Linked DNA regions of Oreochromis niloticus. The protein of the gene in region 3 purifies or fractionates together with the protein of the main gene of each other region. This does not show direct contact. Links are inferred from orthologs where the notes say so. Each region holds a gene or a part of one and is shown on either strand. Other genes may lie near its edges.

The links.
Region 1: the proteins of rbx1 (region 3) and fbxo21 purify together in Homo sapiens (affinity purification with mass spectrometry; 3 studies listed by BioGRID and IntAct, with this or other methods). This does not show direct contact. The link is inferred for Oreochromis niloticus from reciprocal best matches to the Homo sapiens genes RBX1 and FBXO21.
Region 2: the proteins of rbx1 (region 3) and keap1b purify together in Homo sapiens (affinity purification with western blotting; 6 studies listed by BioGRID). This does not show direct contact. The link is inferred for Oreochromis niloticus from reciprocal best matches to the Homo sapiens genes RBX1 and KEAP1.
Region 4: the proteins of rbx1 (region 3) and fbxw2 purify together in Homo sapiens (affinity purification with western blotting; 3 studies listed by BioGRID and IntAct, with this or other methods). This does not show direct contact. The link is inferred for Oreochromis niloticus from reciprocal best matches to the Homo sapiens genes RBX1 and FBXW2.

The regions. Positions count from the first base shown.
Region 1 is NC_031977.2:29,805,408-29,812,655, reverse strand, and holds the start of fbxo21 (F-box only protein 21), read right to left. Parts: upstream 3,022-7,248; 5' UTR 2,967-3,021; coding exon 2,743-2,966; intron 2,172-2,742; coding exon 2,036-2,171; intron 1,676-2,035; coding exon 1,566-1,675; intron 766-1,565; coding exon 644-765; intron 1-643. Other genes in the region: nf2a (merlin), read left to right, coding at 5,018-5,131, 6,194-6,319, 6,432-6,554. UniProt on the Homo sapiens protein: Substrate-recognition component of the SCF (SKP1-CUL1-F-box protein)-type E3 ubiquitin ligase complex.
Region 2 is NC_031971.2:24,647,360-24,654,568, forward strand, and holds the start of keap1b (kelch-like ECH-associated protein 1B), read right to left. Parts: upstream 3,010-7,209; 5' UTR 2,865-3,009; intron 1-2,864. Other genes in the region: s1pr5b (sphingosine 1-phosphate receptor 5b), read right to left, coding at 6,747-7,209. UniProt on the Homo sapiens protein: Substrate-specific adapter of a BCR (BTB-CUL3-RBX1) E3 ubiquitin ligase complex that regulates the response to oxidative stress by targeting NFE2L2/NRF2 for ubiquitination.
Region 3 is NC_031969.2:9,352,173-9,360,129, reverse strand, and holds the start of rbx1 (E3 ubiquitin-protein ligase RBX1), read right to left. Parts: upstream 3,017-7,957; 5' UTR 2,775-3,016; coding exon 2,700-2,774; intron 1,880-2,699; coding exon 1,801-1,879; intron 1,665-1,800; coding exon 1,594-1,664; intron 370-1,593; coding exon 284-369; intron 107-283; coding exon 94-106; 3' UTR 1-93. Other genes in the region: chadla (chondroadherin-like protein), read right to left, coding at 4,197-4,488, 4,571-4,737, 4,967-5,319, 5,416-5,752, 6,445-6,716, 6,925-7,163, 7,352-7,497, 7,597-7,752 and 1 more. UniProt on the Homo sapiens protein: E3 ubiquitin ligase component of multiple cullin-RING-based E3 ubiquitin-protein ligase (CRLs) complexes which mediate the ubiquitination and subsequent proteasomal degradation of target proteins, including proteins involved in cell cycle progression, signal transduction, transcription and transcription-coupled nucleotide excision repair.
Region 4 is NC_031972.2:10,100,836-10,108,117, reverse strand, and holds the start of fbxw2 (F-box/WD repeat-containing protein 2), read right to left. Parts: upstream 3,016-7,282; 5' UTR 2,717-3,015; intron 2,012-2,716; 5' UTR 1,986-2,011; coding exon 1,719-1,985; intron 663-1,718; coding exon 440-662; intron 1-439. UniProt on the Homo sapiens protein: Substrate-recognition component of the SCF (SKP1-CUL1-F-box protein)-type E3 ubiquitin ligase complex.

The DNA.
Region 1 (7,248 bases), on a different chromosome or scaffold from region 3:
TATGTTTTTGTTGCTGGAAGTGCTTTTTATGCAATTTTTGCAAAGCTATATGTGGAAGGAAACCGTGACCTAGGGCAAGCTAATGGAATAAGATGTAAGTACAACTCCTCCGGTTTCACATGCAAAAAAAATTATTGCGCTACCTTACGTGGTTCCAGTTCTACAGGGATTTAAAAATAGTTAGGCAAAACGGAGCGTGCCTGCTCCGACCGGTTGTAAAGGGTTAATTATATATTTTATGTAATAATTCATAAAATTAGGGTTAGAAATGATAGAAACGATAGAAGACAAATGGCACGATAGACACTTTTCTATCGTCCACACGATATATATCGTCATATCGCCCAGCACTAGTTGAATGTTATCCTTGATCAATGTCTGACTTCTCAGAACTCAGAAGTTTGCCGGCTGAAATTTGGGTAGAAATTTTTAGTTTTAAAAAAGGTTTTTGAAAGATTTCTAAAATATTTCTGTTTTTTGTTGTTGTTGTTGTTTTTATGACTAATAATTTGTTAAGCACAGTATACTGTAATAATTAGTAGCAAAATTAGCAGCTATAAAGTATTAACACAATGAAATAATAGAGATTTATAAGTCTACGTAAATGTATAATAACTTTGTATTGTCGGCACAGATGCCTCACCTTCTAGAGCTGACTGCTGCTCTGTGGGCTTCTCCAGGAAATTCTTCAGACTCTTCAGGATGTTTTGCTGTCTCAGGAAGTAAAGGATTTTCTTTGCATAGTACTTCAGGGTCAGGCTTTTCCTAATGAGTCAAGAATGGAGAGATGGTAGATCAAAGGAGAGCACATGCAACAAAACAAAAGCTATCATAATCACAGAGGTCTTAGAGAGGATTAACATGATCAACACCCAAACCCATTTGTGACTGCAAACTGTACACTCACCAGCCACTTTGTTAGGTACACCTTGCTAGTACAGGTTGGACGCCCGATTGCCTTCAGACCTCCCTTTATGATTCCTGGCATAGATTCAAGAAGGTGCTGAACATATTCCTCTGATTTTGGACCATTCGGAAAGGGTAACGTCACACAGATTTATTGGCTGAACGTCCATGATGCGAATCTCCTGTTCCACTACATCCCAAAGGTGCTCTATCAGACTGAAATCTGGTGACTGTGAAAGCCGTTTGAGTGCTGTGAACTCACAGTCATGTTCAAAGGGCTAAAAGTGTGCAAGAAAATATCAGCCACACTAATACACGACAACCATCAGCCTTACCTGCTGATACAAGGCAGGATGGATCCCAGTTTCATGTTGAGATGCTGGGTGTTCAGCATTTTCTGAACTGCTAACTAACACCAGCACCATTCAAAATCACTTAAATTACTGTTCTTCCCCGTTGTGATGCTAATGAACTTCATTAGGTCATCATTACCATGTCTACATGCCTAAATACATCGATTTTCTGTAACTGGCTTGTTAGACACTTGCATTAATGCGCAACTAAACATGTGTACCTAATACAGAGGTCAGTGGGTGTAGAGCTACAGAGCAAGAATTTCAAGTACTGAGATTTTAGTATAAACACAGTGCTGCTCTCACCTCTTGTCAGAGTTGAGTATGAAGAGCAGCTCGTCTTCACAGAAGTGCTCAGGCATTCCAAGTGACTCAATTTCTGCAAAGCTGTCTCCCAGCACCTGACCAACGCAAGGCTGCGTTACAGACCTCAAGATTAGTTTGGAACATTGAAAGCCCAGGTTTTCTTGCATAAATATGTGCGCATGAAAAACCAAACAAACACCATTATATCTGTGTTTTCCATGCTAAATAATAGACTTGTAACCTGTAAAGTTTGCATGCGTTTAGAAATATAACAAATTTCAGACGTATCCCACGTAATCTCTCACAAACATGCACTTAATTTGATCACCCTAATTGTTGTATCTTAAGTGAAATATGTATAACTGCTACCGATCCACGTGTTACCAGTCTATCACAAGTTATTAAAGTCAAATGTAACACTGTAAAACAGATAACGAAAAAAACCAACACTGATGAAACTGATTACTCACAACTTCTGTGAAGAATCTCTTTGAGATCGATTCCACGGTCCTTCGTATTTGTATCCCAACTCTATGGCGTGTTTTGTATTCTCTGAGCCAGTCACAGGACTCATTCTGACGATAAAACCTCTGCAGTCTTGGCCATCTGTTAATGAAGGCAGTGTAATGTTTTTATTACAGGAAAACAAATAAAAATTCTGAATGATTTAACAGCCTCAAGCGTTAGATGTTAGTCTCTAGAACTGTTTATCATCTTGCTGAAGAGGTGTCTTTTGCTCTGCTTAAAAAAAAGAAGAGCAAAGCTGTCAGCCAAGGCACTCAGGAGGAGGGCTTACAGTAACTAGCTTTTGCCAAGAGCTTCACTCTTCTACAGATCAGAGGCAAACATTCAAGGTCATACAAATTCATTGTGGATGAATTCATTTGGTGTGATGGAGAATAAATTGCTACTTGCAAAAGCTGTAAACATTTATAAGCCTCATTGTTGTTGCAGGGGGGAAGCCACCGGCATGGCGTGATGATGAATTTGGTGCATCAGCAGAATGTCAACGGCTGACAGCTGCCTGTGAGTTCGCAGTAAACGAACCCACCTTAAAGCAGACATTTAGAGATTAATGGCTCTAAACTACGCATAAATAACAAAAGAGTCAGATTCCTTTCTATAGACAGCATAAAAGCCACCAAAAGCCAGTATAGAATACCACAAAAAACAGCACCTGAGTTTATACTGGTGTCCCCAGACCTTCCCCCTTCCATGACAAACGTCGTGTAGCCGCTTGCAGCAACAGGAGACGTTACAAATGTCGACATGTTTGAGGACAGGGAAGCACAGGATGTGTTCGAGCAACTCGGTCGGCAGGTCTGTCAGTTTTTTTGTTTGGGGGTCGGGAATAGTCCCATTTAGACTTGGCTGTCCCTCTCCATCCACAGGCGTCGCCATCTTTACTGTTTACCCCGATTACCTCATTGCCTTTTCGCCGCCCCTTTATGGCGCAGGGGGCCGGGCCGAGGGCGGAGCCACGTTCACTCAAGAGGAAACAAAAACCGGTGCTGCCTTCATGACCATCGGAAATTCTGCACATATTTTATATTATTTATTTATGTTTTATTTTTATTTTTTGCAAAACAAACTACAGGCAAGTCAAAAATATGAAAAGGAAACTTTTTTTTTTTGAAAGTACAAGTCTTGTTTAATAGGCAAGTAATCTCAGATGTAATTAACAGGCCTCACTTATTTATTCTACAGCATTTTACCCTTTGAGAAATTATTTTGTTACAAATGTAAATAATAATAACAATAATAATAATAATTATTATTATAATGATAACGATAATAATAACATCCATTGTCCCTCCTCTGCACAAGTCCAAACCACTCCAAACCAAGCATCTCTAAATTCTCGAAACTGTTCACCTTTAGCGTAGTCATTTGGTGTAGTCATTTCTAATGCAGGCCATTTTGGTCATTCCTATTGCAAATCTTACTATTGTGAACTCTGTCACCTCTAACTCAGCCTCCTGGCTATTTGTTGGTCCACCGTCTCCAACCCATCCATCATAACAGGTCATCTTGTAGTACCATCTCCCCACATCTCCATGCTCTCTTCCACTACTACTTCTACTACTACTACTACTACAACTACTACTAATAATAATATTCAATGAGTTAAATGGTAGATAGTTATCGAATGAAGTATAAAGGATTTCCTGTGTCTGTCCACATGTCAGTAGAGCTAAATCCATCTGTTGGAGAAAGTTGACTATTCCTGTCTAGTAAAAAATGACAGAAATTGTACAGATTTTTTAAAAAATTTTGTTTGTTTATTTTTTCTTACTTTTGTTTGTGTCAGAAAGTGTAAAAGTCCCATCTTATTTAGGATACATAAGGCCAAAGGTCACTGGTTTTGATTTCAGAGGGCACACAGGACAGAGACCCTGCCCAGTATTTAGAACAGCTGCATTTGTTCTTCAACAATCCACTGCTCAAATGCCCAAGATTAGCTGATATTACTTTTCTTTAATTTAAATGTAAATTAATTTTACTGCCCAGCACTTTAAAATTAAATATATTCAGATTATGATTCCATTTCACAGACCAAAGCAGCTACTTCTTATAACTGAGACACTACACAATTAGGTCTGCCATTTTTGTATGAAAAAGATACAACAAACTTTTTATTGATCGCCAAAATAGTTGTGGATCTAATCACCACAAAGTGAACCCCGTGAGCTTGTCTTAGAGTAAGAAAGCGAAGTGCATTCAAGCATTGATTTATAATGGCTAAGCCATAAATAGGATGCTACCATTAAATAAAATGGCATTTTATGTCAATGCCATTATTATGTACTACGTTGCCATTACAACATTTTGGGCGGTACCCGAATGCATCATTGGATGAGATGGCTAACAAGTGGTTAGCAGCGGTTAGCTGGTATTTCGCTTCCTTTTTAGCGTAGTTCATGTGTAACAAGTTAAGTGTTTTGACGTCTCCAGGCGGAATGATTTGGGTGAGACGCATAAATCTGAACATTATCGTATTTCTTACGGATCTATGTAAAGTTGTTGCCACTTAAGGGTTCATATTATATGTAACCTTAGTTAGCTAACTAGTAGCAAGCCTAAGACACTACGCTGTATTTATCTGCTTGGGATGAATGTATTGATAATTTTCTTTTTAGGAGTTAAAGGGAAAAAATAACATAAATACGTAATTGCGGGACAACAATAGAGCAATAACATGCCAGTTAAAGTCTTAAAAACCCATGTAACTCTCGTTTGAGCATCCAGCGATAGATGAACAATTAATACTAAGTCTGGAAAGTCACATGCACAGCTGTGCTTATCTTTCAACTATGCCGGATGACTCGTCTTCTATTTCCACCAGAGAGTTAAAGAAGTTAAACAAAATGGCTTGACCGTGCACTCAGTTTGTAGGTAAGTGTAGGAGCGACTCTGAACAATAGAATTGTTAGTTTTTTGAACTGTTCGCCATGGCAAGTGCCTTAGCAGCAAAAATGGGATTTAACTCGCTGATGAGAAAACAAGCGAAGACCTTCAACGTCAGGATCTCAACAATGGAGTCAGACCTGGAGTTCAGCTGCGAGGTGAGACTGATCTTAAATCCATTCAGCTTGAGCCAAGACTTTTCGACAATTGTAGTGACTGTGGCCACAACACCAGGTACAGCTAATAACGACTAGTTAGCAATTACTATGCATTGTATTGCTTCTGCAACTGCACTTAATGCTTGATAACAATCTAATGGATACAGCAACTGAATGGGTACAGGTGTCCATTCCTTTTTAAGATAAACAATTAGCACTTTTCGACACTAGATGGCAGCAGTCAACTGTGACCCATGAACTGAACAGCTGTAGCTGATATTATGGTGATGTTCTACAGAAGATAATCATCTGTTATATGTTTATCTGTGTCGTCTGCACCAATGTGATCAGGGAAATAGTTGGTGGCAAAAGTCAGTGCATTATAAGGTTTGCTGAAGTTTATCTGCTAGCAGTTTGGAGTATACAACAGATATTTATGCTGCTTTTTAAAATGTAATTTTGGCCTTTATGTGGTGTTTTGGGTTTATCAAATGACTGGGGATATGTGAGAATTGAAAGGCATCAAAATAACTTGCAAACACCATGCGTTTTTTTTTACAAGGGAGGAACGCCACTAAAGTTTAGAGATAGTAATTACACATAACAGCGTCATCCGAGTTGCAGGTTTCTATTTTCTGTGCTAGGATGATGATTGTATCAATTATGGGTTGAAGAGAGAGTACATAATAAGTATTGGTCAAATAGTGTTCTTTCAGCATTGAATAGAAGTATTGCATGGTCAAGGTTGCCATTCCTTGTGCATGGAGAGTTTTTTATCCTATTCTTTTGCAGTTCTTAGAGCATTTTTTTCATGCCAGCCTTGGAAGCACTTGACAGTAGCTTGCAACCCAAGTTAACTCAGAGGCTAGAGATGAAAGCCAATCTAAATTGGATATGTGTGCCTGATATGCCTCCCTCTTAGCTCTCAGCAGGATGAGGAGAACATGTATGATTCTCTTCTTGGAACCCAGTGTTGTAATAGAAATGCCAGTATGACTAGATAACGAAGATGCAGGATATTATGAATGCAAAATTTCCTCCTATCTTTTTTCTGTGTTACAGGTCAAGTGGAAAGGAAAAGACCTTTTTGACTTGGTGTGCCGAACTCTTGGACTGAGAGAGACATGGTTCTTTGGCCTCCGGTATAACATCAAGGACACAGTTGCATGGCTTAAAATGGACAAAAAGGTGACTGCTGCACTTAAATTGTTAAAAAAAACCCGATGTGCTATTTAAATGCTGTTAATATAGATATAGGAGTCATGACAATAAAAAAAAAGTTGTTTATTTGTTGTTGCAGGTTCTAGATCAGGAGGTGCCAAAAGAAGAACCCATCATCTTTCACTTCCTGGCCAAGTTTTACCCTGAAAATGCAGAGGAGGAGCTAGTGCAGGATATCACACAACATCTCTTCTTTCTACAAGTAACTATACGCTGTTTATGTAAAATACATCATTTTGTACATTTAGACATTTGTTCTCTCATTTTCAGTGTAAGTCAGGACATATGTAGTGCACACTGAAATATTTGATTTTAACAGATTTTTCTTTGGCCTCTGGGTTTACCATGGAGACTTTGCTTGTCTCTGACATTATTAGAGCTGGCACGATACCACTTTTTTATGTCCGATACCGATACCGATATCATAAATTTGGATATCTGCCGATACCGATATGAATCCGATATAGTGTGTTTTTTAATCAATAAAACTGTTTTTTTAATATCTTGCTGCATTTTGTATAAGTTCATACTCAAGTTTAAATAAACAACAACACTAAAGATATTCTGTTATACCTGTATGTAAAAAATACACTGCACCCAAAATATTTCATAGTTCAGCAATACTGATCAATCTAATAAACTTAAACCTACTCCATCCTCCCTATTCTGGTATTTTAAAGAGTACTTAGCAGAAATATTAAGCAACCTAACTAATAGGGTTGCAAACTCCCAGCAAAAAAAAATAGGGAACCACCCCCCACCCTCCACCTCATGATGCTTAATCGATGTAATCAACTTTAATTTGATGCTGGGTGAAAAAAATGCACAGAAATAAATTATTTTTCAAGAATAATTAAAAAGATTCAACATCTGTCTTCAACAGAATTGCAGACTGC
Region 2 (7,209 bases), on a different chromosome or scaffold from region 3:
GGTGTTTATTTAATACGCTGTATTTGAGCAACGAGAAATAGCCGGGAAATCATTCATTTATCAGGCTTGACTTAAACATTGCTTTACTAATTCTGTGTGCAATCCAAGACAATTTAAAAAACAAAGGAAGTACTACATGGCTGTAAGGGCTTATCTAACAGGTGCTCTTCAGTAGGGCAGATGCAAACTCAGTATCAAAGAAGGATCACTGAAGCAGTCCAGCTTCCCTGATGAAGACAGAGTCGATTTACAGTCCCATCTTTCACAGTCATGATAGTTTCTCCTTATCTGGCATGTCTTCACACACAGGTAGTGTGCACAGCTGATAAAAGACAGGGTGAAGTGAATATTGATTGAGTTAGCGTTAAAACTCCAAACACGCAAAGAAAAACTGTTGGTGAGGAACTCAAGTGCCTGCAATCCTACTTATTACTTTCACTACTTTTAAAAGTAAAAAATGTCCACCTAGAGAGCCTAACAATATAAGCAAAACAGCAAGTAACTAAGTGTGTAAGCAGCAGCAAGGGAGTGCTGCTCATTTTGAAGGACAACGCTGTGACTTAAATTAGGCTTTAATTTAACAGGCCAGCATGACTAAGTGTGCTCTTGCTATGCCCTGTTGCCAATCCACTGGGGGCTTGAACAGAGGGAACAGTTTGTTCAACCAACAGCAGAATCCAAGTACATCCATTGCAGCATCTTCCAGACATGTTTAAACCAAATTAGGCTAAGAAACAAAACAATCTTTTAATCAGAGTCAAGAGGTACTTTTATCGGAGTAATCCAGGAGGAGGAGAGGGCTCTGGCTCTGCAGACTGGCTTACAAACAAATACTTCTACAGGGAATATGTGGGATCAGAGCCACTACGTTGAACCCATTAAGTTGAAAATTTAATGCCTTCCTTTTCATTCGAATCCCACTTCTTCTTTTCAGAATATGAACTGCCTGCAACAGTGACGTACAATACAAGAAACATGTGGTTAATGTCCGTTTGGAGCGCTCTGATCAGGAAGGGTCTGAATTACTCAGCAACAATGCTGCTGTGAGGGTTCAGTTATATAACAAAGCACCTGTAAGTTGTGTATACACACCCACACGCACACTGATCGTTATGTGAAGCATTGATAAAAGGACGCAAAGCAAAAGGCCAGTTTATATGGCCTTGTAGCTTTCCAATCTGCAAGTAGGTTACAGTGTTCTTTGCAATCATTAAAGATTAAGGGGAAAAAAAAAACAAAAAACAAACTAAGTTTGAGTGTTATTCATTTTACCAACAGATGGGGACACGTCAGTGGCCATGATGGAACTCGTCATGAGGAAGTCAGCCAGTTAAGCTCGCTGTAACATGAAACACTCTGCGATTCACATTTACTGCTGTGCCTCCCCCCTTCCAGGATTCTGGGTGAAATAGTTTCACAGGAGAACATATTGCTCAACTCGCCCACTTTCCACAGCAGACAGAAACGACTCACTGACAAACAAGCTCTCCAAGTCCCACGCTCTACCTGCTGCATTTCTCTGACATTTCATCAATAATAAAAACATGTTTTTAGGTATGATGAATGCGACAGGTATAACTGGGTCCAAGCCACTCTAAAGATAGTATCTGTTGTTGAATCAATCAATGGATGAATCAGCTGACAAACACTGCATGTATTGTGATAGCATTTATTAAGACATTTTATAACCTACGCATGTGGGAGATCCTGAAATTTTACATGCCATAAGTCAACGACTCCTAGCAAACATCTGCAGGGTTTTCCTCCTCTAGCATGAGAAAACTTGTTCATTACAGGTTGTAGAAGTGAAATTAAACTGTCACTCAACGGTGACACTAAACAAGGAAGTTTCAAGGAGTTGGCAGCAGTAAATCCTTACAAAAGGACGAGCTCAAAAAGGAAACTGAAAATATGCAGTATGCATCTTTAAAAGATGAACGTGAACGATAAACCAGCGATTTATGCTGATGCTGCTAAAAAAAAATCTTCCACTGCGACCCTAATCTTGACAAGAAAGTTGGCTCATCAATAGCCACAGTCATAAAGATGCACACTCACCCCTGACAGAGACCCTGCACGTCGGTTTGCGTGCCACCCTTCAGGCCTACCTACAGGTCTTGGGTGTCTTACAACAACTGGAGGGACTCTACAAGTTTAACAGTTTGATCTGAGCTACACCTACAGCTGTGTCAGCGATTTTTATTTTGTTTTGTACTACAGAGCCAGCAAACGCCATCGAGACAGGAGTGAAACAAACACAAGTACAGAGTCCAGCGCGTTTCTCGGGCATTTTGGCAACCAGCTTTCCTCGGTGACTCATCGTGAACTCTTCACCGAGCAAACAGTGGAACTGGATGTACCAAAACATGACCCAGAAGTGAAGCCAGTCCCTTACATAAACCATGATGGACTTGGATTTCCGCGCCATTTACCTGACATGAAGAGCACACAAAAAGCCATCGTGTGTCCTCTACGAGGACCATTTCTGAGCTTGCGTTTGTCAAAAAAATAAATAAATAATCCACAGACCTGGCATGCAAAGGTAGAACAGAGCAAGCAAAATCGGCTGCTAAAGGTTTCTGGTGGGTTTGCAAAGACGGTGAACTCAGAAGGTCTCACGATGAAAGAGCCGTAATCCCCCTCAAAACAACAAGTCAAACGTTTCGGAAACAGAGCTGACAGCAAAATAGGCTCCTAATAATAGACAGCAGAGTAACGGCTGTGAGCCGACCTCGCAACAAACGTGCTAACAAAGCGGTATCAAAATATATTCTTGCTAACACACCCGCACAAAATCTAAACATGTCCAAACAACTGACATTAATCACTAATGGCTCCTTAAATTTGGAATAACAGAGAATTACCGTAGTCTAGAACAATTCCTCCATCGCGGTCTGCCGAGCTGCGAACCACACAGAAAGGAGGAGAAAGCTGTAACTCAGCGTGACTAAGCATTGTACCGGCCTCATCTCGCCTTCACAATAAGAGCTCGCCACTAAAGCGTTGGCCCGCCTCTGTTTATTACTAATGGCAGACAAACGTGTCCCGTGGGAGGGGGCTTTTATTGAGAAGGAATTCTTAAAACGAAGGAAAAGCTGGGCCAATTTTTGGCAGGGAGCCAAAAACTGCAGCTTTAACGTCAATCAAAATTTGACACAAATACCATATAAAGGATAAAACTGCAAAACAGGTACTTCTTCTAGCAACTTAAAATGGGATCTAATTATGAGAAAATAACTGCAATAATGCAGTAACACTGCTTTAAAACTGTGTGAGTAATTGTTGAAACGCCAGCAGGAAATTACTAAACTGGCATTGTTTAACGATCACTATGTTGCTCAGACATAATGGTGTGTGCTCTAGAGACATGGTTATAATGTTACTGCAGTTCTGCCTTAAAACATGAATGACTCCTACATAGCACAGGAGCTTGGGAGGAATCTGTTTGCAGTGCTGACACACCACTAAGGGGGTTTTCCCCCTCCTTCTTCCAAAACACGTAATTCAGGTCACAGAATTTGATGTTCTGCTTAAAAGCCAAAAGGTGGCACCAAAAGCTAACTGTGAGACTGCAAGCGTAAACACTCACTTTTGAGTTTAATCCCGTGGAATGAGCTGCCATAATATAACCAAGACATTTAAGCCCTGTTGCTCTGCAACCACAGTTCACAGCCCATTACACCAAGCACCCCATGATAAGATTCCATCTATACACCTTAAAGTTGAAAGGACTGGCAAATCCTAGATATGAAATGACAAGTCATGATGCATACACCACTTAGAGTTCCCCCAAGACTCTGCTGTGTGTCTGTGTAAAGATCCAATCAGAGGAAAAGGCTGAAGTAAGCCTTGAGGCACCAAACTGCTCTTCTAGATGGATGCTTCCTATACACTGATCGTACAAAGGTAGGTTAAGACTGCACCCACATTTGTACTACCAGTTCCTCAGCTCTGTCATTTCCCAAATTCTGCTAGAGCAAGGAAAAGTACAGTTTTTTTATTTGTGGCTGTGGCATCAAGGGACTATCAATGGTCATAACTTGTAACAGTTGAGTTCATTATAGCAGAACAGAAGCCAGAGTACAGGAAAGATTCTCTGACTTGTCGACCTCTGCCAGGAGGCACAGTTCTCATGGATAAAGCAAACATCTGGAGGACCACCTGCACTGTACAAATCATATAAGAGGTATTCTAGCACCATGAGGCAGGGCTTATGTCTCTAGGCCACAGAAAGTAAAAATCACAGGAAAATATCTGCTATCTATCACACTAAGCATGCTTTGCGTTGTTGACATTTTTTTAACAGTGGCCTGACAAAAAAAACATGTGAAAAATAAGTGAAGAACTTAACAGCTTCTTTTAGCTTCATGCAAATCAACCAACAGTCTTTACCAGAATTGAATGTTAGCATTAAAAATCATGTCTTCATAACTGTAACTTTGGCAGTATTATAAGACAAATTTAGACATAAATGCAGGCACTGAATACAGTTTTCTTTCTATAGGAGCTAAATTAGCTGGATTCATAACAGCTGTGTAATTTTTCTTTATTTTAACTATAGTTGATGTGGAGGGCCAGTTCACAGGAAAAACAAATCAAACAAAACAAAACCTTGGTGTTCAGTGTTTATTAAAAGTTACATTGGGTACACTATTACACTTGGTGTGCTGGGCATTATTGACAGTTTATTTCTAACAGTGGTGTGACATTTAAAAAAAACCCTGAAAACCACTTACCAACTTCTTCTATTTATAAGTCACTGGTCATGACTTCTAACTTTTAACAGTTGAGTCTGCTGCAGCAAAAAGCAAGGTGGAGCACAGGACAGCTCTGCCAAATGCCGGGAAGAGGGGGTTATGGTTGACTACAGAATGCCTTTAGGGCAAAGACAGTTAAAATCACACGGAAAAATCTGCTGTCTGTCACACTAGACGTGCTTTGCATTATTGACATTTTTTTAACGGTGGCCTGACAAAACAAAAATCAACAAGAACTGAAAAGCAGCTTCTTTTTGTTTTCTGCAAATCAACCAATATATTGTAGCTTAACTGGATACATAACAGCTGTGTAATTTCTCTAAATTTTAACTATGACTGGCATTGTGGAGGCCGGATCAGTGTGAGGTGATAGTAACTTGTAACCACTGGTTAAGAAGTATTTACTAAAAGAGGCATTGTGTGGAGGTTAAGCCACTCAGAAACAGGCAAAAGTTGATGTATATAGGTCAATGCCATTACCAGATGTGAGATGAGGGAGGCTGACTTCCTGTGATACTTCTTTGCTTAACCACAGCTACACTAACACAATAATACACACTGATGCACTTAAGAATGCTGCAGGGCACTAACAGTGAAAATAAATTGAAACCCCATTGGAATGTTTTAGAGAAACACTTTATTTCTTTTATGAAAAGAAACACAAATTTTGCTAACGTTTTCTTGTTACAAAATATATATAATTTACAATAGAGATATAAAAAATATGCTCACAAATACATCAAGTTCACTACATACATTTTAGTACAAAAAAAACCACAACCTCATTTAATCAATTAAAGTCTTGAATGACGTAAGAAAAAAAATCATTCAGTACCTTTAACTGAAATGTTCTGTTAACTTGATGAACAATGAAAGGAAGCACTGAAACAATTGCTTGGTAAATTTATACCAGTTCAGCATGATCTGTAACTTACAAAGGCAGAAATATTTTTATCCATAAAACTTGTGATGCAGCTGAATGAACTTCTTTTTAAGGTCGTCTTCTTCACAAGCTGGAATGTAAAGCCTTGACGTGATGCAACTGCAGCTGATTTGGTTTCAGTTGGAGTTAAGCTGTCAGCCAGTGGAAAGTAAACATTACTTGTAACATTATCTTTCAGTTAATCCGATGCTAAGTATGATGACATTTTGTAAATGCAGCAGTTTTTACTGTAGATGTCAGGTTGACATTTCAAAAAAACTGGACACGACCCCAACAACTTTCCACGTCTACCGCAGATAGGTTAACCACCTGTCATTTCAAAACTGTTAGGGGGTTTTAATGCTGCACCTCCTCTCCCACATAATTTATTTGCATACAGCATTCAGCAATTTCAAGAAGGGTGCCACCTTTTTCCTGTTAACTTAATTCCTTTGCATCACGTACACAGATACGTGTAGGGTAACCAAACATCTACCCATGCAAATCTAGCACACAATCAGTCTTCGAACCAGCGAAATCCAGGTGTCTGCAGATTACACGCTGTAACTGTTAGGAGTTTTTATTCTGACTTTAAGGCACTTAAGAAACTGCAAGATGAGAAACGTTAGCCTCCATATTATTCCAGCAAGTACATAGTTTTCAGTCTTTCACTCTTTGAGTTTACAGAAGCGTCCTTCTAAGCTTCACACAAAATACAGAAGCCCAGAAAAAATTGAGTCCAAGGTTGCATATGTCAGTGCAAATTAATAAAGAAGACGTATTGCTAGCATCATATACATAAAAAACATTGCTTGTTCACATTTGAATTGCATCCTTTGCTCTCTGGTTTGGTATGCTTCATCAAAATGAAATTTGGTGATTCAGTTATATTGCCATAACTGCGCCACACTGTCAAAGATGAGTCATCGTCTTTTATACGCCCCCTTTTTATGGCTCTTTGAAAAAAACAAACAAAACAGAACTGTCTCTCAATAGTGGATGCGCTACATATCCTCTATTCAGCGGGAAACCCATTTACACATTTTGGACACAGTCAGTCAAAGTCTTTATGACTTGAAAAGTTTGGGGTATAGGGCTTTAACTGGAGATGGAGTGGTGATGACGTTTCCAGATGAAATAGTTGTCTCCAGACCCGGTTCTAACTTCTGGGAGGGCACCTCAGTTTTACTGAAACTGCACTCCAGGAACGGCATCCCAATCTTCTTCACCTGCCCATCTGAGGTCATTAGACATGGCCGACAGAGGAGCCTCAGAATGGCTCTCCTCATGTCCTTACTGGTCAGTGTGTAGATGATGGGGTTGAGGAGCGAGTTGATAATGGCTACTCCCAGGAAGTACTCAGCCTTGTAGAGCACGGGGCATCCGCGGGTGGGGCAGGAAAAATCTATCAGGAGGAGAATGAAAAGGGGCAGCCAACAGGCGATGAAGACTCCCAATACAATGGTGACTGTCTTGAGGAGAGCAATGTACTTCTCTGACTTCCTAGCTAAGCCCTTCCTTATGCTGCCT
Region 3 (7,957 bases):
ATGAGCAGAAACAGTTACTATAAGCGGGTCAGAACAAGGATAAAGTGAGGGTGCTGCTTGCAGAAGCCAACAAAGGGGTGAACGATAAACCAGCTAGTGTCCATATCTGTGAAAACATGACAGAGAGGGTGTGCTGTCAGTACAGCTCTTCACTTTTAAAGAATAAACAATTTTCTCTGCAGGTCAACAAAAGATCAAATGCACTGTTAACCAAGGAACCCCTTAAACCCTTGTGATTGGACCACACAGTAAAACTGTATACAATGTAATGCGTGGTACTCACTTCTGAAACTCCCACTCCCTGTTGTCCAGAGGACACACCTGTCTGGTCTTCAGCCAGCGAGAAATACAGTGGAAGTGGAAAGCATGCTGGGAAAGAGAAACAAAAGGATGGTAAAACTACATAAAATAATTTCTCTAGTGAAAAACTGATATTTTACTTCAGGTTAACAATATTTAAGTATCATGTATTTCCATTCCCTTGTATTGTAATTTTATTTCTTTTTAGTCCTTTATTTATCCAGGTAAAAATCTCATTTCCAAGAGAGACCTGGCAATACTGGTAATACTCTAATTCTTTGTACTTCCACACGACAACAATCAAACTTTGAGGCACAACTGGAAAACAAAGAAATAGATAATGTGGGTTTAAAATAACAAAATGACCAGAGGATCAAGTTATCCCAGATTATTTAAAGCCATTTTTAAGGATTTGGGAAACTTTAAAACCTTCCGTTTAAATAGTGTTCATTGCATGTATAGTTCCTGCATATAAACCTGCATGATCAAGCTCTTATAAACACAACAGCCTTGTGCAGGAAATGCTTATTAAAGTTCATTATGATCAATGTTGGGAACATCGCTTCAGAAGTTATACTAATATTAATTTGTGTTTATTTAACATGATTCCTCTCACCTTTATGGATCAACATGCTGATCATTTTTGGTTAATATGAATCAAGAGCATCTACAAATAAAATAAATAATATACTTTATCTGATATTTGGGAAATCATTTAGTAACAACAGCTGAAATTAATAATAATGACGATAATGATATGTCACCTGGAAGATCACCTCTGCCCAATACATATGAATTCCTATATCTGCCCTTCCTGGCAGCAGAGATGATTGTTACAGGAGGTGCTTGTCCAAAAGTCTCACAGTCCTTGCCTGTCATCGTCTTTTTAAGATCACGCCTTAGAAGTCCTAATCTGATTTTGTGAATCTGCATGTTTTCAATATGAATGCAGTACGAATGCCAAAAACGGAGCCTCAACAACTGTCAGTGTTACAGACACCAGGGTCAGACTGTGAAGACTCAACTGTGGAGCACAGAGCACACACACTTCCTGTGACTTCCTCCTTTGTTCCCAAAAAATTAATTTCAGACACCCATTTTCATCTTCTTTGCTGTGTGTGATTGGCAACAAAAGCCAATCACACACAGCAAAGAGAGCGAGTGAAAGCAGAGAAAATCAAGCGGTCAGACCAGGATTTTGCTTCCACACTGCAATCCAAACAAAGAGCGATGGTTTCAAAGGGGAGCTGAGACCATTTTGATCACACTGTACATGTTGGTATAGAGACTTACGTTGCAAACACCCCAGGCTACAGTGCACTCTTCAGAGGTTGCAGAAGCTTGGTTGGCCTGGCACTCTATGCCTAATGGGTGAGGGGGGAAAAGAGAAATGTGTCAACATAAAAAGCACCATATCACCTACAATGATAAGCAAACCTCATTTACTGTCAAAATGTGCACCAAAGAAATCAAAGACCAAAATAATCAAAGTGAACTCACAGAGATCCATGATGTGGTTCCTACAGATAGCACAGTTATCCACCACAATGTCCCAGGCCCAGAGCGCCACAGCATTCCACTGAGGGGGGAAAAAATAAAATCACACAAATATATGATCTAAGATTCATAATCTGGAGATTAAGTAATTTAAAACATGTCTATATCCCTTTATTTGAACCACACGAGGGCCAGCAGTGCACAAACTGCTGTGACTTGAGGGGCACTTTTTGAGCTTAATGACAAACATGACATAAACATGTGTTTTATTTAAAAAATATATTTTAACTTTGGTTCATTATGAGTGTCAAATGTCTTTTGATTTAAAAAGAAGAAGCAAAAGCATCTCTTGAGTGTCTGTAAGAGGGCCGTATTCACTTCCCCATCCCAGAAATACGCCTGAGATGTTACTGTAAACTCTATAGAGAGATTTAGGATCTCATTTAAGGCATGGGGCCCTAAATATATCATTTGAGTCTAGCTTATTGGGAAAGGAATAGCATCGAAAACATGTCAAAAGTGTAAACATTATTTTTAAATACAGAGCAAAAATTACGTGTGAAATGTAGCTAAGCTAATTTCGCCGGGGTACCGGTTGAACAGCTGATGTGTTTCTGCCCATTACACCTTTGTTATTAATTCAGAGATATCTGTGTGGGTGTTTATTCTTAGCCCCTTAATGGGAAGTGCAAATTCGTGGGTGTTCGATACTAACAGCAACAAGCCTACTGTCTTAACTGATGCTATGCCACAGTGACTTAGCGCTAAAGTTAGCATGCTAGAGTTAGCATACTAAAGGCAGTGGGCTAACACGGCAGCATCACTGAACTATGATAGCGTCCATTGGTCACATTAGAAAGCTTCTTAGTAACTCCCCAGTGAGAGACTTTTTACAGCCATACCTTCTTTACTTCAAATCGTTTCTTGCTTGCGCTGTTAGTACCGCTCGGTGTATCCACGTCCATTGCTGCTGCCATCTTGAACAGAAGAGTATGACGTATGAGCCAAATCAGGCGGAAGAAGAGCGGCAGTTTCCGCCGGCGAATTTTAGAAAATTTTAAAGCGTATTATATCGATATTTGACGGCGTAAAGAAGACAGAAGATGGTCATTTTCTTATATTTATTTCAAAAGCTAACAATTTTAACTTTCATGAACACAAAGCGAAAAGCTTCTCTATGATCCAAAATGATTAGGTTCCACCGAGATTTGAACTCGGATCGCTGGATTCAGAGTCCAGAGTGCTAACCATTACACCATGGAACCCCATGACGATGCTTGAGCTATAGCTCGATATAAAGGTGGGTATTACAGACACCAGGGTCTGTCATTTCCTTTTCGTTATAGTAAATTGTTAGAGCACAAATATTGCTAACACTACCAACTATTTTGAATTAGAATTGGTCTCCCATCGATGCTATCGTGATTGGATCAATACTTTGTTTCTATTCTAAGTTCAGTTTGTAGCCCACTGAAATTTGGAATTGAAAAACTATAGCTCAGACATGCCGTATGAAAATATCTGAAAGATTTTGTATTTACCGTTACGTCTAGAATATTTAATCCCTATAGCACATTTAAATAACAGATGTTGACCAAAATCGCTTAAAAGACAGGTCTAAAAAAGAGCAATTTTAAAACAATTAAAGAAGCTGAAAGATTTGTTTTGTTGTTGTGTTAACTAATTATTGTGGGAATTTTTTTTTAAATCACAGTGATTTTAGTGGTTATTAAAATGTGTTCAGAATTTGCATATTGATGATTCATTTCATAAATCACACAGCTCTCCCTTACATGAGCTGCCCTTATAGGCTAAAAATATTGGTATTGCTATAGGGAACACTGGCTTGATATCAGATCAATACCAAAATTTGCAGTACTGCACAGAACTAGCTGTGGTTTTGTTGGCTTTCAGTATGGATACACCCATAGATAAGATTTTTTTAGCCATCTGGTTCCCTTCTATAAACTACACTCAATCCCAATGTGGGATATTGCTGTGCAGTCTCACATAGGGACAATGTGGGATAACATGGCCTCGCTGATTTCACCTACGGACACAGCGCTTGGCCTCTGTAAATTAGTATGTGCACCACTAAATATACATTTCTGTAATATGCATAGCAGTTGGGCTCTTCTAAAAATGCGTTTTTATTCCCTCTCAACAAACCTTGTTAGTGTCGCATTAAAGTATCCCTGCAAGAATGGTGAGAGATTGGCTGAGTGACTGTCAGGTTTCCTCTGACTTTTTAACTTTGATTTTTCGCTTGGATAGAAAAAACTTGCATGGCTCAACATTTTAATTTAGAACCAAAAAAATGTAGCTTTCAAGAAACCCAACTCCTTAACACTCAGGTTTATTGCAAAAAAAAGAGTAAAAGGAAAATGAGTTACATGTTCTCATTTCAGTATCTTCTTTTTCTTTGTTACTTTTGGTGGCCCAGGTTTTCTTTGAGGCTGCTTCCTGGGCAGTTTGGCGACTTTAGCTGTGGTCTGTGCTTTGATTTTTCGGGACTTCAAGGAGTCTGCTTTGGATTTCTTCACTTTTGGATCTGCAGCACTTTTCTTTTCTTGTGGAAAAATGTTCTCTGGACAGGACTTGAAGACGTGGATGCCCTGGACCTTCTGACCTCTGAGCTCAGGAGGGTGACCACAAGTTGCGGTCAGCTCCAAACTAACATTCTCCATCCACCTGAGCCACAGACACAAAGCAACAGAGTCAGTAAAGCTGTCAGTTCATTCTAACTGTAATCGCAGGTAAATCTTATACCGACCTGCGCAGAGGAAGCAGAAAGCAGTCACAACGCAGTGGGTTGTCCTGCAGGTCCACGGTCTCCAGGCCGGTGAGTGAGCTCAGATCAGGAAACTCCTCCAGCTGGTTTCCTCTCACAGTCAAAGTCCGCAGCTCTGAGCCCAGCCCCAGCAGCGCATCCTTGGAGATCTGCACAGTGGTGCAATACAAAGAGTTGAAAAGAAAATGCTGTATCTTGAACAAGCCCTCAGTGCAGTGAATAATCAGCACATATTCTCACATAAACAGTACAGTCAGTACAGTCATGTCTGAACTAGATATTGGAAGCCTGGCGTGTGTTTAAATACTGACAATGCTGAGAAAACATAAACACGTTGCAAACTAACTTGTGATATTAGCTTAAAAGGGTCTCTTGTACCTTTTCCATTCCCATATGATCCATGTAAAGCCTCTTCAGACTTTTGGATAAGGGCTGGAAAGCATTTGGTCCCACCCAATGAACTGAGTTTCCAGAGAGGTTGAGCTCCTGCAGATTAGGGGTCTCAACCAGAGCGTGGGTGGGCACCTCAGTCAGCTGATTTGAATCCAGGTGAAGGGTACTTAGAGAGTCAGAGTCAAGAGCACCCTTGGCAATATAAGTTAAGTTGTTATTGCTCAGATATAACTCAGTAAGTTTAGAGCCCAGTGAGGACAGTAACCCGCTGGTCTCAAGTTTAGAGATGGCATTTTGCTCCAGGTGTAACACAATCAGACTTGGTAAGAGTGACAGAGCTAGAAGAAAGACACAGAACAGCCATGTTTTAGTTCCAGTGTTTCTTGCAGATAGTATCTACTGAGAGGCAGACTTAATGTAACTTATCCACTGACCTGATCCAGGGAACTGTGCCAGCTTGTTCCTCTCCAGGTGGAGGTAGGTGAGCTTGGGCGCTCCAGCAAAGGCCTTGGGGTCCAAGGACACGAGGTCATTATCAGAAAGATACAAATACAAAAGGTTTTTCATCCCCTGGAGGGCACCACCTTCAATTTCATGGATTTTGCAGGACTGCAGGTGAAGAGAAACAAGTTGGCTGCTTCCTGGGAAGCTGTTGGCTGGAAGGTAGTGGAAGTGGTTATCGTGGAGGTCCAGCAGCTGCGTCTTGGCGGGGAAGCCTCGTGGGATTCTAGTATGGCCCCGACCCTCACATGTGGCATGCTGGGTCTCAGTCTAGAGAAAATCAATTTTGAATGTGATAGCTGCAAAACGCCTCAGTGGAAATAACAAACAGTCATTGAGGAAGTACTCTGAGGGTTTAATTAATATAATACTGACATATCACAGTGCTCTGAGACACTGATAAACATATGAGTAAAACAGCTGCCTTGTAGCACACAGCATTAGCCTTCATTTAAAGGCCTTTGAAGCATTATTTGTGGTGTGCCAAATATCTACCACTATGTTACCCATCTTCCTACAGTGGATTTTTAGAGCTTTCAACTCAATTTTATTTATAAAGCATGGCCACTTGATCCAACCCCTAACTAACTGCTTTATCAACACCCTTTTAGCATAGCTCTCTAGCTTAAACTAGACTGGGTGTCTGCCTCCTGAATTCAAACTGGAAGGTGGTCCCACAGATTAGGGCCCTGAAAGCTGAAGGCTCTGCCTCCCATTCTACTTTTAAATATCCTAGGAATCACAAGTAAGCCCGCAGTCTGAGAGCCAAGTGCTCTACTGGGATTAGTGAAGTAAGTAAGTACAAGTGAGCCAAGTGAGAGTCTGGTAAAACAGCAAATCTATGAGAAACTGGAGTTTTTATTTGTTCTTCCTGCTTTCGTTGTTGAGAGATCAGCAAATGCTGGAGTTGAACTGAAACGTTCATGGAAGTGTCCCAGAAGTGTTTTCTGTCTCCAACTTACATCACATTCACAGTTAGCTGGACACTTGACCTTCTGCTTTGGCTTGGCAGTGGCTGTGACCGTGGGTGGGACTCTTTCTGTACTCTCCTCCTCCTCATCATCCTCCACCGGTGACTTCCCCCTCCTGCAGCGCAGATCCTGAGGAGACACCGCCTGCAGAGGCTCATCTGAGAGGTGAGGAGGTCCAGAGCAGGCTCCCAGCAGCTTCACACCACTAACTCTTGCCCACTGCCTCAGTGGAGACATATAGCAGTTACAGTAGATGGGGTTCCCTTTAGAAAAAGTAAGAAATGCCTGTTGGTCAGCATGTAAAAATGACACATGGTATGCTATCACCCCCCTACATCTTTCTTTCTTGGCCTCGCTATGAGACATGAGAAGTCAGATCACTTACATCTGCTGGTTTGGAAAAAATGAAAGCCTGTTATGTTAAAGTAAAAGTCTGTGTCCAATAAAAAAATATCAGAACACAGGCTTTACCTGTCAGGTTGAGGCTGGTGAGCTCTCTAGGGCCTGAGAGGGGCTCCAGGTACCGGAGATGGTTGTGGCTGAGGTCAAGGTGTGAGAGGAGGGGGGCTTGAGAGAAGGCCTTGTCTGAGAGGTCCTGAAGGGACATGTGGCTGAGGTACAGGTGTGTAAGCTTTGCCATGGAAACTGAATCTTCCCCGAGGTAGACCATGGGGTTGTGGTTCATGTGCAGCCGTGTGACCTCACGGAGTCTTAACAGGTGAAGGACATGGCAATTTAAAATTGTCACTTAAAAGCTCACAAATTTGACTCATGGTATGTATTGTGGTCAGTAGTTTGACGTCTTTCTCAGTGCTGCTGCAGCTGAGGATTCAATACTAAACACACATTAAAACACACACATCAATACGTCCCATAATAATCGTTCAGGTTGTCCCACCTCGTCATTGTCTGTGTGGGGAAGAACTGCAGCTCATTGTGATCCAGGTCGAGGCGGCTGAGGGTGAAGAGCCCAGCAAACGCCTCAGGTGCCAGGTTGTTCAGAGAGTTGTGGCTAAGACGAAGAAACTTAATGTTCTGCAGCCCCTTGAGGAGGAAGAGGAAGAGGAGGAGGACTGTCGTGGAATCGCATTACCAAACACATCCAAAAAGATTATTAAAGTATTTACCCATAATTTGGAGTACCTGGAAGACCATGTTAGGGATGTAAACCAGCTGGTTGTGGGTGAGGGCCAGTGTGTTGAGGAAGCCGAGCTGTGTGAAGGCTCCAGGCTGGATCTCCTCGATGCGATTGTGGTCCAGACGCAGCTCTTTCAGGGAGGAGAGACCGTCAAAGGACTCCTGCAGCAGTGAAAAGAAGATAACATCATTCTCATAATAAAGACTCGAGAGGAAAAACTGTGGGCCTCTGATCTTACTTGGTAAAGGATTTCAATTTTGTTGTGAGCCAGGTTTAGAGAGACCACTCGGCCAAGAGTCCGAAAGGCGCCCTCTTTAATCTCAATGATGTTGCAGCGCTGCAGGTTGAGATAGGTGAGGTAGGGTG
Region 4 (7,282 bases), on a different chromosome or scaffold from region 3:
ACCAAAAAACCAAACCATTGGCCCGGTGACAGATCTATTTTATAAGCACTCTTTAAATGACTATAACTCTCTTACCATTGCGCTAAAGAGAAAATTGAAATGGTTTTAACCCTTTGAAACACATCATATATCAGTACTTTTAGTGTACTCAGTGAATAGTTTTATATTTACTTTTTGTCTATACAGATGTCAGATGATAGACTTGTTTAAACGCTATTATCAAACTGCAGTTTTTCGTGTGTGTATGGGTACATTTCTCAGGACATGATGTGAAGTTAATCTAAAAGGAGTGTTAGTATTATGAGGTTGACAGAAATATCTCTGGATAAAACTGATGAGCTGTACAGCACTGTGTCATGACTCTATCATAGACTTTTGAGAGCTACTAATTTGATATTTTGCTACTCTAATAAAGACAGAACACATAGTCATGGGGTACCTGTACAGAGGAGGCCGTCCTTGTAATAAAGAGCATATACTCGAGCACTGTGACCAATAAGTGATGACGTCTCAAAGGCTTCTTGATCCTTTAACTGCATCATACGCAGCTTAGCCTTCAGGTAGACCCCCTTCCAATGTGATGCATCCTGAATGGTCTCATCAATCTTCCAGCCTAGCTCCCGACACACACCCTGCCACACCTCAGTGCAAGAGTTTATCACCTACCCCCCCAAAAAAAAGAAAAAAAAAGAAAGAAAGTAAGAATATTTGATATGTTAAACAAGTTTTGTCAGGCTCTGTGGATCAATAATAAACATCCCTAAAAACTTAATTATCCATCTGTGTCACATAAATTAAGCTGTATGACACATTTAATCAATTAAATTTCCACCTGTAATTCACTTTGCTCATGCTTCATATAATCATTATCTATACATTTACACAAACATATCAGAAAGTCCATGCAAACAACCAATATATATAATATATATGCCACTTGGTGGAAAGGTTCATATTCATCTAACTATGAGAATGTATACAGTCTTGGCAGTCTAAATATGTGTTCGCTTTTCATGCAAGCAAACAAAAGTCATACCAAAACACAGATGTCAAATGCATTTTACATCACTGGCCCCACATACAGCCCACTTTGATGTTAAGTGGGCTGGACCAGTGACACTACATGATAAATGTGTAAAATTAGTTAAGTGCACAAAACGCAGTCTCGTATGCTTTTTCTCCCACATGTTATACTTCTAATGTGACAGTATTACAGATTCATCAACAGATCAATCCAGAGTGCTGACATGATGTCCATCTCAAGCGTATTCCATAAGAGCACTGAACAAACACTATTCTTTTTCACGGATACAGTAAACCAAGAAAGACTATGTTGAAAATACAACATGAACATATCACAGTTGGAACTGTCAGTGAAGCACATATGTGGGCATACATCAGTGCAACAACATCACTGTCTGTATATGTTTCTCGGTTTAGCTATTGACTGTATCTTTGGGCCTGGACAACCGCCATATCTGCAATTTTGGATTTAGGTTGTTATTGAGGATTAAATGGATACCTATAGACAGCATAATAACAGATAAGTACCTTCTACAAACCAAACAATTCTTTCAAAAGCTAATAGCTGCACTTTTATCAAAAACTGAAAGAGGACATTAGATTTCACTGTGAATGTTTGCATGCATTATTTTCTTTGAAATTCCATTCCTTGAGTAAAGTCAGATAAACAAGGAGTCTGGAAATTTTAGAATTACCTTGTTCCATTGTTTGCAGACTAGGCAGCAGGTGAGCAAGGTCTGAGGATCCAGCCAGCGCAGCAGGTAGAAGGCCAACTCCAAGGGAAGAAGGCGCAAAAAGTCACGTTTCAGCAGTGTCTCTAGTCCATTAGAGAGATGGCGGAGCTGAGCAGCACCACTTAAAGATATGAGGTGGTCCAAAGACTGGTTGCGCTGCTGGTCATTTAGAGTAAGGAAAGTAGCAGAGACTGACTCCAGCCACCCCTCAAATGCTGCCTTCTCCATGGGCACATGAGAGCGACCTGCAAGAGCTATAAGAATAATGCAGGGTCTGACCTCATCACTTTGGTCAGGAGAAAACTACCAAACTCAGAATACACAGAGACAGATTCAACATCTGGGATAAAAAAGTGATGCCCTCCAGTCATTGCAATAATCTTTTTTTTTTTTCTTCTTTTTTTTTTAAAGAATACGTTTGAGCCCCTCCAACCCCTTAACATTTAAATCTCTTGAAGAATGAATGACGCCAATTCTGAATCCCTGAAAGGTCATGAACAACAACAATACAAAATGTATGATTTAAGAAGTGTCCCTGGTTCAGACATTTGACCTGGATCAACCAGCATCATCTCCTCACTCATACAGCGTTTAAGATCCGGCCATACATTTGTAGCAGGGCAGCTAATAACCAAAACTGCAGAAGGCTTTCCGCCAGGCTTCATAAAGCCTTCCGAGCCTGAAAACGACACATGAATGTAAAATAAAGTACATTCGGGTATATGTTTCACTTATTTAAAATTGAAATTTAAAGGAAGCCACTTTTATGGGCTCCTGCTTGTGCATTCGTTCTAAGTTAGCCTGACTAGCTAGCAACTTTTGTAGCTAACGTTAGCTCTGTAGCAGTGTTATTGTTTAGAGCAAACTGGCTACAAGTGGAAACACTCAAATACTTAAAGAACAGTTTATGCTATTAAATGATTTATAACTGTAATTGGAAATTCAAATTGCCCACCAACCAGAGTTGCGGGGAGTTTCCGGATCAACACTTTCCCGGCTTAGGTCACATCGCTAAGTTAGCTGTCGAAAGCTAATCTGGCAACCACCAAGTTAAACGGATTCCAAAGAAAGCTAGTTTTGCAGTTGAGGTTAGCTAACAACCACGATAATGCTTGTTTTTGTTAATTTTGAATTACACGTAAAACACGTAGCGGTAGTCTTCGTTACAGTTTCATGGTGTAGATATTTCATGCAGCAGGGGAAAATGATAGCACCTTCTGACAGCATGAAACTATAATATAATGGAAACGCTACCCCTGTATAAAGTGGTCGTTGTCACCCTCAGTATAATCTTACAGGAGGCAAAGTAAGAGTTTTTACCTCAAAACAACGGGCAACATTTAACAATATACCACCGCATATTTAGTAGCTTCGCCAACATATTCAGTATACTTATACTTTATAACATTTTTGCATTTTTATTTTCAGCGTTCCCTCTTATGACGCAACTTGCCTGTAAGACAACGCTGCTGGCATCAAAACAAATAGATTCACTAACTTCCGGTTTTCGCGCGAGTAGGTGTGTCCAGAGTCAGAACCCTTGTTTTAAAGAAAAAAATTCTCTTTAATACAATTTCTTTAATAATCTCGAATACATAAAGGAGTATTAGTACGACGGAGTAATAGCGCCACGTTAAGAAAAAAAATATTATTGATCATTTTGAGAATAAAGTCGAAATTTCGAGATTAAAGTTCTATTTCGAGGAAAATAGTACAAATACTGTTTTGAGAAAAAAGTCGAATAAAAAAAGTGAAAAAGTTCAATTTTGCTGCACGCTTTGAATGGTAAAAAGTAGCACCACCTGGTGGACAAATATAAAAATTGAACCGAGTAGTCCAAAAGAAAATCTTAGTATTAGTTATGTATGGAAGCTTCATTCCGCCACTAAAAAAAACCGCTATCCATAACTCGAAATAAGTCGAAATTTCGAGTTATTATGAATAGCATTTATATTTTTTTAGTGGTGGAAACAAGCTTCCATAGGATAGCAGTTAATCGCATGGATAAAATTGAGAATGGTATAAGGTCTACCCCAGTACTCCTCACCTCTAATGAAGGATATGCTACCAAGGAAAATAATGTGGGATGAATTAGTTACACTTTGATGGGGTAGAGCCCTCCAGTGAGATGTTTCAAGTGTCAGAGTTATGGATATGTGGCAGCTAGGCTGCTAGGATTCAAGGAGATTAATGTGGAAGAAATATGTCAAATTACCTATCCTAAGGACAGTGAAACACAAAGAACCAAACAAAGTCAGCACTTAGGATGGGATGACACAGACACAGAGGACTTGTTCTAAAGAGACTGAGGTTATGATCATGGCAATAGCAGCATTTGCATACTGCTGTTTGTTATGCTAGGAGCCTCATGGCAAATGAATAGGAATTTCACCGCTTAGACATTTTCTAAGCGGTGATAATTAAAAGCCTAATATTATTTGCATTGTTAATATTACAAGAAACTTGGTTTAAACCAAGGCTAGGTTTTGTGATTCCAAGATCCAAATGTGAGAGGAAAAATAAGGAGATAACCTCTGGTGGTGAAACCTATAAAACCTTTATTAGAAAAGGACTAGAAATGAATGCAATAATTGAGTGCATAATAACAGAAGTGTGGACAGACAGGGGCAAATTTACTGTTGTAAGTACATATAATTTCTGCATCACATTAGAGGAAAACTATTTTGTAGAAATTACAGATAAAATCGGTGTCCCTCTAATGTGGGTTGAAGACCTAAATGCACATAATGAGCTGTTGGGAAGCAAGAAGAAGGACAGAAATGGTATAGTAGTGGAGGAATTTATAGACAAATACAACTTGGTTGTTTCAAGTGACGGATGACCAACATGGTTTAGGACAAATCAAACAATATCATCATCTATTGATATTACATTTGTATCAGCTGATTGGCATTAGTTAGCAAATGTGATTTACTGGAGCGAAGTACGATGGGAAGTGGCCATACCCCAAAAATCAGTAGCAAATAATCAGTTGCTTAGTTGGAATGAGGAGTCAACAATACCCTCCCATAAGATTCAGTCTATAGCATTATATAATATTTTATTAGTGTCCTGTTAGACCCATTTATTTAAAAAAAAGAAAAAAGAAAAAAAAGAAACAAACAAATAAAAAACAGTCTCTTTACAGCTCTGAGATAGTCGTCATTTACTTCCGATATTTATGATATGGCATTATTTTTGTCAGTTAATAAAGAAATATTTTAATATACCAGTTAACATGTTCTGAATAAGAAACATTTTATTGTCATTAAATATCAGATGTTCAATGAAATGATAAGTTTTTACATTAACTTACATATTCCACTCTCTGTGTTCCTTTCATGCACCTTTGAAATGCCGCTGGTGCATTTGATAATACAAATGGCATCCTGCCCCTCTAATATAGCCCCCAAGGAGTTGTGAAAGCTGTCAAGTACATCGATCCTTCTGCTATGAAACATTGGTGGTAGGCTTTTCCCTGGTCCAGTATGGAAAACCAGCTGGATCCCTCCAGTGAGTCAGTGAGATCCTGGTTCTGAGTAAACTGGGGTTGGTCTGGCACTGTTTCGTTATTCAAGAGCTGATAATCAATACAGAGGCGTAGGGACCCATCCTTTTCCCTCACACACGCCTGGAGCACCATAGGGTGACTAAGATTTAACAAGCCATCTTTTTACCAACAACTCTGGAATATGTTCTTTTACCTCCCTATCGACCGGCACATCATCCTTAAGTCTGATTTCTATTTACAGGGCTGAAACACGACCTCTTCACAAAACATTTCTTCCACCACTTATTGCTTTTCGGGGATCAGATGGCTAATGTCAGGTGGTGGAAAAGCAAGAGTCCTTATTGGGGTTTACTGGGAAAAAGTTAATCTGAAAAGATTAACTGTTCTCTCATGTCCATCTCAGTCACCTTGGTGACCTGCTAAACTGTACCAAGAAGTTTTCTCTTTGGTAGCATGATCTCATGTTTTAAGTGCTTAGAGATCAGTACCATGATATAGGGGTGGTGAGGGTTATCGAACTCCAGAAGGCCTTCCCTCAAACTCAGCTGTCCTAGGACATCGTCCTGCTCCACAGGTTCACACAAAAACAGTAGTCTGTACCAAACCTGGAATGATAGCATTGCCCTTTCCCACTCTTACTGTAGCTGTGTCACAGTATTTTCTTTGTTGTACCTGGATGAAACTGACCATGGGAATCACTTGTTCACCATTCCAAAGACATCGCATCGGAGGCTAACAACTGTGGGAATGGCATCACCTGAGAGTTCTTGTCTCTTGATAATCGCTTCAAGCACATTAGCTGCTAGTAGGTGCTGTTGCAGTGACAGCTGACTGACCAGGAAGGGGCCTTGAATGGTGAAACTGGAATTGTGATTCCCTCCTAAGGTGAAGATGATCTCTACCCAGCCATCTTAGGGGATGGTGTGGCCATTAACTGCATAAACATCAAGGCTTAAATACCTGACCAGTGGCTACCCAGTGAAGTTCAATTCTATTCAGCTCATAGGTGAACATCATCAAAAATGGGCTGACACCCACATTCCCAATTATACAGTCAGATCCCTGCAGGAGCTTTTCAGTGAAGACTGTCTTCACTTTTTAGGTAGGGGTACCTTGCATTCATGGTGCTCTGACAAGCGACTTTGTGTGACTGTTGCTTGTTTTCCTGTGGTCGACAGACAGATCAGAATGGTGATAGACATTAAAATAACATAAATATTAACAATACTTTTAGGCAATTTTATTATCACCATAGTAAATCACCAGGGCCTGATGGCCTGAGCTGTTAATTCAATTTTTTAACAAGGGTTCCAGCATCATGTGGTATGATCATTTCATTAGATGCAGAAAAGGCCTTTGATTGTGTCAACTGGCTGTTTTATGTTTTGAATACATTTGGTCTGGGAGACATATATATTAAAACTCTTGTACATTACCCATTACCCTTTCATCATCACTAATGGCCTAAGATCAAGCAGCTTTCAACTATTCTCAACATGGAGATGTCCTTTTATACATTTCAGAAATTCTAATTGCTAGATTTAAGAAATATCAATAACTAAGATGAGTGACATGCTAAGATTGCTATACCCCCTCCAAATAATTCTTTTACTTATATCAAACAAGGCTCAAAAATTACTTATATGACTTTATATGGAACAAAAGAAAAACAAGGTTAAAGGTATCAAAACTTCAACTTTGTAGTTTAAATGGAGGTCTGGCAACCCATCTCAGGTTTATAACAGAATGGATCAAAAATGACCCTCCTTTTGTATAGCTGGGCCTGGAGAAGTCTGAAAACGTCAAAAAGGTCTCAAAAAGCCAGGTCTGGGAAAAAGAACTTGATTTAAACATCAGTGAAGAGGAATGTAATGTACTTTGGGACCATACAAACAAAAAAAAATCTATGTGTGTAATCACATAATCTTTCTTAAGATTGTTGCTATTTAAAATCCTGCATCATGTGCAAATCTCCCCAATGAAAGGCACCAGAGGAACCACCAACTTTCACCTT